Nothobranchius furzeri: one gene and its partners. The protein of the gene in region 2 interacts with the protein of the main gene of each other region in a pairwise test. Links are inferred from orthologs where the notes say so. Each region holds a gene or a part of one and is shown on either strand. Other genes may lie near its edges.

What was found.
Region 1: the proteins of fhl1a (region 2) and akap12b interact in binary tests that used the Homo sapiens proteins (3 or more experiments, as listed by UniProt). The link is inferred for Nothobranchius furzeri from reciprocal best matches to the Homo sapiens genes FHL1 and AKAP12.
Region 3: the proteins of fhl1a (region 2) and mybpc1 interact in a two-hybrid assay, tested with the Homo sapiens proteins (2 studies listed by BioGRID and IntAct). The link is inferred for Nothobranchius furzeri from reciprocal best matches to the Homo sapiens genes FHL1 and MYBPC1.

Annotation. Positions count from the first base shown.
Region 1 is NC_091742.1:2,887,016-2,889,784, reverse strand, and holds the end of akap12b (A-kinase anchor protein 12b), read left to right. Parts: coding exon 1-1,671; 3' UTR 1,672-1,675; intron 1,676-2,208; 3' UTR 2,209-2,263; downstream 2,264-2,769. UniProt on the Homo sapiens protein: Anchoring protein that mediates the subcellular compartmentation of protein kinase A (PKA) and protein kinase C (PKC).
Region 2 is NC_091741.1:82,973,546-82,977,727, reverse strand, and holds the start of fhl1a (four and a half LIM domains protein 1a), read right to left. Parts: upstream 2,879-4,182; 5' UTR 2,654-2,878; coding exon 2,632-2,653; intron 1-2,631.
Region 3 is NC_091741.1:43,201,555-43,205,681, forward strand, and holds the start of mybpc1 (myosin-binding protein C, slow-type), read left to right. Parts: upstream 1-1,272; 5' UTR 1,273-1,485; coding exon 1,486-1,507; intron 1,508-4,127. UniProt on the Homo sapiens protein: Thick filament-associated protein located in the crossbridge region of vertebrate striated muscle a bands. Slow skeletal protein that binds to both myosin and actin.

The DNA of each region.
Region 1 (2,769 bases), on a different chromosome or scaffold from region 2:
GTGACTGCAATTGAAGCCCAAGTCAGTGAAATTCCAATCCAGTCATCCGTAACTGTTCAGCATGTTCCAGTAGAAGTTGCTTCTGCTGAAACGGAGAAGGAACCGGAAACAGAAGAAGCCGAGTCCTCTGCAAATGCCGTCCTGGAGCTACATGTGAAAGAGGAGACCGTGGCCATCTGCACGGGCCTCCAAACAGATGAGATCGCCAGTGTCACCCTGGAGCAGCCCGTTGAGCCCACGGTGGAATGTTCCGCTCCCCTTAGTGATGCAGCAAACGTGGAGATAGCTGTAGAGGAGAAGCCAGAAGGTTCAGGAAAAGCAGAAGCCACAGAAGACCCGGTTCTCCAGGCTCATGTCCACCAAGTACAAACTCTTGAGCTTGAGCCTGTTGCTGAAAAGTTGCAAAGCGAAGTGGTGGATGTCCAAGTTGCCACCGAGAGTTACGAGCCTGGGATCGAGAAGGTGGCAGTGGTCAGCACCGAGAACTCTGAGGTCATTCAGCCGACAATGCTGAAGCAGAACTCCCCTAAATCGGTGGTAGTCGATGCCATCGCACCAACGCCCGAGGCGGTTGTCTGCACCCGGATGGTGGAAGTTGCTGAGATGACTGTGGAGATCAAAGAGGTCAGAATGGAGCTGGAGCAGCTTGCTGCAAGTCAAGAAAGTACTCCTGTAGGGGAGGCGAGTCAGGTTGTGGCCAAAGAGGTGTCATCTGCACGTTGTGACACTAAAGAAAACGCAGAGGGGTTCAAAACAGCTGCTCCTGCTGTTGTAACAAGCGAGGGAAACGCTGTTGTCATAGAGACGGTGGTTCTTGTTGCGCCAGAGAAGGAGCATCAAACTAAAGAGAACGACGTCGAGAAGGCTTCTGAGAAGATTGAAAAGGCCACGGAAGAGGTCCATCTGGGCAGCGAGCTTGTGACTCATAGTGTGGTGATCGCAGAGGCTGTGATTACGGAAGCTGTCGATAAAGTTTTAGAAGATGCTTCCCACCTCAAGAAGTCAGCAGCTCCACCAGCAGCTACGGAAACACCAGTCAAAGCAACCGCGACGACACAAGACGAGATAGAAATCACAGCCGAGTGTGTCGTCATCACCGACACACCTGTTCCTGTCGTCTGTGAACAACCAGCAGCAACGTCGCTGCAGGCGCTCTTTGTCGCCATGGAGGTCACTGAGACCGTCCCGTTGGAGGTCACACACAACATAGTGGAGAAGGAGGAAGAGGAGAAGCCTAAACAAAGCTTAAAGATGGCAGAGCAGGTGAAAGTGAGTGAAGGAACGATTATTGAGGAGGAAGTAACAGAGATGGTCGAAGAGGGCAAAGGTCAGGAGGAAAATGGGTCACAGAAAGTGTTGGAGATCCACATGCCGACCCAGGTGATCCTGCAGTCGGCGGATGTGGTTGAGGAGAAGCCAGCGGAGGTGGAAACCACGGTGGAGCTTGACGGGGACAACACAAACGCAACAGCTGACAAGCCTTCAAGACAAAACAGCCTCCCAGAGCTACCAGAGGAACCTCAAGAGACGGCTTCAGGAGAAGATGCAGCAGAGGAGCCAGAAGCCGGGCAGAAAACATCGGGAAAGTGCGCGGAAGTGATGGCGCAGGTGATCGAGGAGGCGGTGAAGGAGATCGAGCCCGTGTCCATGGAGATCACAGCAGCATCATGAGCAGGTGAGACCCTGGGGCAGAACAAAATTTACACGACATGTTTCCACCGGTCTTCTATTCAGCATCGGTGGGTTTTTCTTTTATTAGGGAGCAGAGGAGGAGATTTGCACACCGACCAGATGAAAAAGCTTTTGTTCAGACTTTCAGTAACCAGGGCACCTTTGATATCAAAGCAGGAATGCCAGCATTCACCCCGTCTTTGTGGGCTTTGGGATCTTAAAGGGAAGCGATGTGTGAGGGGCAGATGAACTTGTGCTGAAAGGCTGATTATGATTCCTCCGCTCCCTCCTCCTGTTTTTCATCCATCACAGACCTAACATGGAGTCAAGAAACCATGTTGGAGAACGCTTTCTAAGATCTGCCCACAAAGTTATGGGTTTTATTTTCTCAGTTTTGACTAAATAAAGTCTTAATGTGAGGTATGTGTGACAGAGACACAACTGATGGTGTCTGCTATGAGCAATGAAACTGGGCGTGTTTACTAAGCAGTCTTGCTTTGTTCTGTAGTAATATCAGACTTTTGGTTCTCTCCACAGATGAAGCTGCAGAAGTGATGCCTGGGAGACGAGCTGTCTGGACCAGGAAATAAACGACGGGAGTGTGAGAGAGAGAAAACAGTGAGGGTGCTCTGTGGCGACACACACACTCTCTGTGGTGACTGTCCATCCCATCCAGACAGACGAGTATCTCCATTCTCTCTCCTCCCACCTGTCCCTGACCCCTGACCTGCAGCCCCTTCACAACAACCACAAGGCAGCCCATCGTTGTCCCCTCACACGCATGCGCGCGCGCACACACACACACACACACACTCACGCACACACACACACACACACACACTCACGCACACACACACACACACACACACACACACACATGCTCGTGCATGTCCTGCATCTCAGAAAGCATCTGGCTCCTAAACACTCTCATCGTACCGTCACAAGTCTTGCTGCAACTTGGTTGTGTGTGTGTGCGTGCGTGCGTGCGTGCGTGCGTGCGTGTGTGTGTGTGTGTGTGTGTGTGTGTGAATGTGTAAAGAAGCTAAAGTGAGGGGGACTTCTGAGACAAAGAGATGGATATTATATCTTTGTACATTG
Region 2 (4,182 bases):
ATAACTACTGATCAAGGCAACTTTGAAATACCACTTTGGTGCTTGGAAGTAAATTATAAAGAATTTAAAGCTGATTAAGACTTTAACTCTGTACTCAATAAAGGAACGCTTACTTATCCGAGCTCCTTGCTCTAAAACCAACTCAGAAACAGGATTTTTAAAGAAGAACATCTGTTTTTCCACGTTCTCCCATAAAGACGCGGCTAGATCCGGCTGTTACAGCAGCATACCAAACCCATGAGACAAGTGTGAGAGAGGTGAAACTGCAGCACACAGATGGCTGCTTGTTGTCTGTCCTGCAGACTTTTTATCAGACTGGCCCTGAAAAGCTAGTGGGTGAACTCTAGCCCTGGAGCCTTGCCACACAGTCTTTTGTCTGAACTCCAAATCAGACCTTTTATTAAAAGTCGGATTTCAGTAACGAATTATGTCCAGAGACAGTGGGTGTTTTAACATATCACTTGTGTGCAGACTTAAAAAGTTGTTTATGAAGCCTCAACTGACAGCTGAACAGCACACAAGCAGTGCCACAGATATTTTAATCTAATCGGTAACAACAGCAGCAAAGGAGGAAACGATGGGTGGAATGACATTTTGTCCTTGTAACCATAGGGACATGAAAATATTTGTGTAAGGCAGGCTGTGGCTATTTAAGTGTGATGTAGTAAACAACCTCCTGCAGTGTGGTATTTGCTTCTGTTGTGTGTGGATGGATATAACTTGGAGAGCAGCTGTGCTTTGAGGATAAGAACCAAAACACCCACCCACCCACCCACACACACACACACACACACACACACACACAGGCAATAGGAAAACCCCTCCCTGTCTGTCCAATACCAGCTCGTCACATCACAGCAGCTTCCACTGAGCCCAGTTGGCCTATGAGCCTATTTTAACTTTGACCCTCTTTAAAGAGCACTGATCCTCCTCAGGGTGATGACTGCTGGGGCAAACCTATTGTGGCTTCGGCTGACTCCCGTCCAGAACTTTAATCTTTAGTTCCAAACAGTGGAGCAGCTGTCAAACAGGCGATCGATACGGCATGCACTGAGGATTATATCTCTGTGTCTCACTGTGGAAAAGTCCTCAACACTAGGAAAGGTCGCAGCGGGACCAGTTTGAGACTGTCTGACCCAGACTGCTACATTGTTCTCCGTCTTGTTGTGTCACACTGATCATGAAAACAACAAATTTCTAAAGCTACAGAGAGAGAGAGAGAGAGAGAGAGAGAGAGATCATGAAAACAACAAATTTCTAAAGCGAGAGAGAGAGAGAGAGAGAGAGAGAGAGAGAGAGAGAGAGAGAGAGAGAGAGAGAGAGAGAGAGAGAGAGAGAGAGAGAGAGAGAGAGAGAGAGAGAGAGAGAGAGAGAGAGAGAGAGAGAGAGAGAGAGAGAGAGAGAGAGAGAGAGAGAGAGAGAGAGAGAGAGCACAATGATTTATGTCTTTCAACGTGAACCAAGTGATAATTCTCAAATGAGATCTCCAGCTGTTAGATCACACATTTCCACTCTTTTAATGACACTATGATTTAAATACTGATCATAAACTCTCTTCTGGTTTATTCGACAAAGAACTAAAATATTACTAATAAAAAGGTAACAAATCCTCACAGTTTACTCACTTTTAGGCCTCTTATGTTGGACTACATCATAATAAACATAACTATATAATATTTGTTGGCTAATGTATCTTAACAATTCTTAAGGTTTCTAATATTTTCCAGTGAACAAGGATTGGATTAAACCCACGTGTAACTCAGTAATGCAATAAATAAATAAATAAATAAATAAATAAATTGTAAGTATGAAATTTCTCTTCAATTATAGCCCCTAGCTATATCACTCCATTTATAAAATGCTCAAATCATATTGAATAAAATGCAGAAACTGAGAACTGGGAGTAAAATGCAGTGCTACATACAAACATGCAATTAGAGAGGGATTCGTTCTGTTCAGTGAGTCAATTTGTAAGAATGATTGTTTCTATTTCATCAGACATCAAAAGATACAGAAAATAAAATTGAGTTCAGATGATGCTCTTAAATAAATAAATAACTGTCACATCTTTCTATCAAAAATCATAATTCAAGGAGCTCCACAATGTCACAGTTTTACATAATAATGAGTATAAGAAAGAAAAATCTGAGATGCATTAATATTGCTTTCATTTGTTAATTCTTAGTCTGGTTCTTTTTAAATTGCTACATAATGTTTTTTTTATGTAAAACCAAATAAAATTACTTTTAATGTATTTTTAAATACCATTTTTCTGTCTTTTTTAATTATTTCCCTGACTCTCCAAAGAAGTTTATTTGTCCTCTGTGTATAATGCTGCCCTGCCTTACAATCTGTTAAGAATATTATAGATGTTAAAATCAACTTTTAAGAGGTAAAAACTAACATGTAGAAGGGTAGGCCGTACCGACATGAGGAAACTTAACTGATTAAGTGAAGATAAAATCTGTATGTTTTTGAGTTTACATATTTTTTAATGATCAAACGGAAGACTGAACTTTTTTTTTTTAAATAAACCTGAATAAGTCATTTAGAAGGATGAGAAAATTACACATTAGATCTGTTATTACATCGAGCAATTTACTAAATCTGAGTACCTTTGTGTAATTTTACCTGAGTGTTTGTAGAAAGTCATGATTGGTTTCAGTCAGGCGGCAAAGATCAGAGCTGTAACATCCACACTGGGTAAAACCGAGAAAACCACGAGCATCATGTAGTTACGGAGGCCTGTATATACCCTTCTGTGACCCACACAAAGCCTCTGACCCCACATCCAAATCCAACCTTCACCCCTCCTATCCTTTTTAGGACATGCATTAGAGTACCAGTGGTACAAATTGGATTCCACTGCAGTAACATCAGATGTTAAAAAAAGAGAAAACACAACCTGAAGGTTTTGTCCTCTGAGGATAATAGATACTCCCTCTGCCTGAAATGAAATGTTGTGTTAGAACGTTTACAACATGCACGTGTGACATGTTGGATCGCCTTAGAGATGAACAAGTTTAAACTTGAATTTATTGGTATAAATCAGATTTATTTGTAGATTACAGTAATAGGTCAGGGAAAAGATGTTTGCATGTGAATGAAGAAAATTCTAATATGTTACACTGATAAGGGAACACATTTTCTCTAAATCATCACTTATGTTAAATTTAAGGTTCAATAGCCAAACAGACTTTAGTTGGTAGCCCAACTGTTAAAAACAAAATTCCAAACTATTGTGGTCTTTGACCTTGACTTTCAGTCTTTTAGGGAATAGATTATTGAAGATTAAATATAATAATAATAATAATAATAATAATAATAATAATAATGCATGCTGAGAGAACAAAGAAATTGCATAAGTGTGTGTATTTATTTATGTTTATGTTTATGTTTATGTATTTAGCAGACGCTTTTGTCCAAAGCGACTTACAAGTGATAATCGGCATGTTGCCCTTGAGGCTAACAACAATAGTAACAACAACAACTTGACATCAGTCATGGAGAGGAGGGAACAAGGAGTGGACAGTAGAGAGGGGGGACCGGTGCAGTGAGGGTGCTAGTTAAGAAGATGCTCTCTGAAGAGCAGGGTCTTCAGGAGTTTCTTGAAAATTGAACAGGAAGCCGCAGTTCTGGTAGTGCTTGGAAGGTCATTCCACATTTGTGGAACGATGCATGAGAAAAGTCTGGATTGTCCTGAGCGTGGTGTACGCACTGCTAGCCGACAATCCTGTGATGACCGGAGCGGCCGGGCCGAGATGTAAGCCTTTACAAGAGGACTCAGGTAGATGGGAGCCGTACCATCTCGGACTTTGTATGCTAGTGTTAGCCATTTGAATTTGATGCATGCTGCTAGCAGTAGCCAGTGGAGCTCAATGAACAGGGGTGATGTGTGCTCTTTTTGGCTGATTGAAGACCAGACGCGCCGCTGTGTTCTGGACCATTTGAAGAGGTCTCACAGTACAGCCTGGAAGACCAGTTAGAAGAGCATTGCAGTAATCGAGGCGGGAGGTGACAGTAGATTGCACCAGGAGCTGGGTGGCATGTTGTGTTAGGTATAGTATGCTCTTTTGTATGTTATACAGCGCAAAGCGGCATGAACGAGCAACAGAGGCAACATGATCTTTAAAGGTCAGGTGTTCATCAATCACAACACCCAGATTTCGAACTGCATTTGAA
Region 3 (4,127 bases), about 40 Mb from region 2:
AGCTTTGATTTGTTGCTTCTTCACACAGAAACAGCAGGTTCTGCTCGGTGGCCTGACCTGCCCTCGACCTGCTGACGAGTGCTTCGAAAACCAGAGGGTGTCAGTGTTCTCCTTCTCGAAGCTCCTCCTGGAGTTTCCTCTCTGTGCTGTGATCTAATGGCTAAACCTCCGCTGTGATGTCAGCTCACTGGTGTCTCGGGCAGCACCAAATGGTTTAGTGCTCCACGTGACATTTCCCTAAGCCCGGAGCCCACTTCTGGATATAAATGGGCTGAAGTGGGGGGAAGGGGGTGACCAAAAAAAGCAACAAAACAACACAGACAATTGTTTTGGAAGGGGTCTCCTTATGAACAGCCTTAATGAAATACATGTCTGACTTAACTGAACCGTTGGCTATTACTGGTATTCTTTTAAAATGACCAGTTAAGACTGTTGTTGCTCCAACAGCAGCCAGCATCTTCACCCTCATTGGTTTCTCATCAAAGAGCTGAAATTTGACTAAAATAGCCTCTTAATTCTTAATAAATCCAAATTTATTTGAGATGCGCGAGTCAAATGTCAAGGTTTATGACAGCTTTCTATGTATAGGTCCTTTAGCCTCCATTTGCCAGTTTGATAAGCCTGCTGTTCTTGGGCAGCATTACCAATGGATTAAATCCATCAGGAATAGACCTCAGTTCCTCACATCAAACTTTTCTTTAAGGAGGAAAAACAGCTCAAGTACTGTGTGAGTTTGTGCTGCCAATCACTTGAGAGTAACCACAGAAGAGCATTGCATCATCCTCAGACCTGCGGCAACGACAACACATTCTCCGTTTATATCCCATTCTCCGGATTTGGCATCCAGTGAGAGGATGTTTTTCTAAAGAACACGAGTTTTATTTTTTATTTGCTGCTGGAGTTGCTGTTGTTTCATAAAGAACAGTGGAAGGGTCTCCTTTAACAAGTGTGATTGTGATTGTCAGCCATTTTTAAGGTTTACTTTAAAAACTAATTTGGAAAAGCAAAAGAAAGGTTTCAGTCTTGATTTAGAATCTGAAATGGGATTTCAAAAGTACAAACTGCCTTCAGCTCCCTGGGCGTTTCCAGTTCTTTGATATTTGTTTCACCGCTAAAACACAAACCAGCAAATTTTGTATTGTGCAGACTGATGGATGAATTGATGATGTAATTTTTTACACAGAGCTCCACCACAGAGAGGAGGAGGAGGAGGAGCATGCCAGCTCTCAAATAAAAGCCCTAAAGCTCAGTCCCCCCCTGGATCTGTCACTGGTCCACCTCTGTTCCCCAACTCAGATTCCCAAACCTTGCATCCTCCTCAGCTTCACTCATCGCGGTGCGAGGGATCCAAGATTTGTTTTTCCAGCTGCATCTCTGTCCCTCTTGGACTGAGAGGGCTCTAGACGCCTTCAAGTCGCACTGCTCTGACCACATCTACCCCGCTCCTTCTGAATCCCTGACAGTTTTCTTGCCTTGCGGCTCAAGATGCCAGAGCCCACAAAGAAAGGTAGGAAACTTGGTTGACTCATGAGGAGATTTCAAAGTATGCAAAAAAAAAAAAAGAAAGAAAGAGCAAAATATACTCTGATAGTATTTACTCATTTGTAAGAACAAAGAAGATTTAATAGAAAGTGAGGATGTGTGATCTCCTACGAATGGAGACTTTATTGCTGTTAATACGTCGTTGATTGAAGGGAGCAGAGCCAGTTGCTCCTGGCTGCAGGGAGATCCATCACTTTGGGACTCGCCTGCCAGCTTTTACATAGGAATCCTCAAAGTGACTTTGACAGTGGTATTGTATTACTGAACCATGCGCGTCTCTGCCATCTTGGGTACAAGAAAAGATTGGAGGTCTACGGATGGACGGTATTGTTACTTGAGGGGTTTGCACATCAGATAGATCCAGCCGGAGAAAGACGCGATGATGAGGAGGAGGCATGCCGATGAGGGCTGAGCCGCAGAAAGGACGATGCAGTTAGGAAGACGCCAAGCAGGGATGAAACTCCTAAATGCTTCTGTGGTGTCTAATATGGTCCAGAGAGCTGTCTCGTACCGGGCCAAAACTCGAGTCAAAATTCAGCCATCCTCAGCATCTTTGACCCTGCCCTCTTGTTGAACCTTTCTAATATTGCTCACCTGCACAATCACGTCCATCACCGCTCTGCTTTAATCCACCTGTGTCTGTCAGTACAACATGGTGTTATGCCTGGCCTCCTCGTCAGATCAGCTGTTATCCACTCGGGCGTGACCATGTAGAGCAAACAGAATGTATTGTTTGGTCTTTGGAGGGGAGGAGGCAGCTCCTGACACAGATACGTCTGTGGGTCCTAGAGTAGGGTTATTTGAGCCCTTAACATTTTAATGCACTATAAAATGTCTTCATCCTCTCCTTGAGTCATTTCACAAAATCTTGTTCATGAACCAGATTACAGTACAAGTACAGGCACCCTAATGGTGCTCATCCACTGCCATAAACATCCCGACCCACCCCGGAGACAAAGCTACAGCAAAAAAGGACACTTCCCATAAATAGCTACCAAACCAACAGATAAATGAGTGGGAAAGTATTGTTCTTTAAATGAGTCTGAACAGCTGAAGGAGAAGAGGGCGGAGGTAGTGTTGCTGCTGTTTTGGACATCCTCCTCTCCAACGAGAAATGATGGACTCACTCAGTCGTCTGCCGGTCTTTTGGGAATTGGATTCTTGTCCCTGGAATAGTTCAGAATGAGCAGACTTTTAATCCCTGTGCCTTGTTCTCTGCCATCTCCCTCCATCACTGCCCAATCCCTCCTCCTCTTCCTTCTTGCTCACCAAAACAGACACCTCCCTGCCACTTTCCATTCAGGATGGATCGCTTAGAGGTCAGGTGCCGCCCTATTAAACGTCTGCCCCTTGTACCCACAGGGCTCACAGGGTTGTTCTCACTGTTTACAACTTCTGAGCGCCAGCAGACGACTGACTTGTGTCCTCAACTCCACGTTCTATCACTCTCCCTGCACGCTGTCCTCTGAAAATGTTGTTGCATGTTGATGGATAGCACGTCATGAATAAAACTTGTCTTAAAAGAATGAAGATCTGTCAGCAGCTAATTGTCACCCCAGAACACTTTTGTTCTATTTATAGGCACAAAAGGCCACAAACAACATCACAAGACAAAGGAAAAACATCAAAGCCATCAGGTTATCTTTGGTTGCATCGTAAGGGTTTATATAAGGTAAAAAAAAAGGGGGGTGCCGGCAGTTTGGCTCTCATTTGAGCCTCTGTGAGCCTTTCTGTCTGCGTGCCAGCAGGGCCAACAGCTGCAAATACCTGTCACCCAGTCAGCTGCACTGGAATCCTCAGAGGTAAAACAAAACCTTTCTCCACTCTCATTATCTCGACGGTGATGAGACAGCGAGCGGACGTGGCTCGCTCTCGGGTAGATGATGTGACCCTGCAGGATTGTGGTCCGGTGGCCAGCAGCACATTGTTTTCAAGTGAGGTGGGAGGGAAGCTAATTTTGAAAAGGATTTTTAACGGGAATCGTTGCAAACGGATGCTTACAGAATATAGAATATCCTTTAATAAAAGAATGACATTTGTTGATAGCCCGTTGTAGAATTAATTAGCAGTGTTCAGAATGATGAAAGTCTGAAACTCTGCATGAAGAAAGAGAGATTATTTCACCTCCTGAAAGCCTGCTTCTATAGGAGGATCTTGGCTTTTGGAATTATAATACTTTATTCTGTCCAACCTTCCTGACCACTTCCAATTCTCACACCTGACTTTAGTTTTTATCAATTTTAGGAAAACACATTTTTGAGCAACTACTTGAAAAATGTTTTTTTTTTATAATGTGATGCCATTTCAAACAGAAACCTCAAAAATGTAAAAATCAGTTGGTGGGTAGGGGAGGGGCTGCATTATGGAAAAGGAAACTAGGGTCTAAAAACTTAATATTAAATAAGTCTGGAAAAATAAAAACAATTTCCATCGTAATAAAACTTTGCCTGAAGAAGTAAAGAAAACAATCTTTTATATAGTGCCTCTGAATATAAAAATCACGAGGTGCTTCATGAGAAGAAAAAAAATTAAATGCAGAAAAAAATTACAAAAGAAATATATATATATATATATTGTTAAAAAGA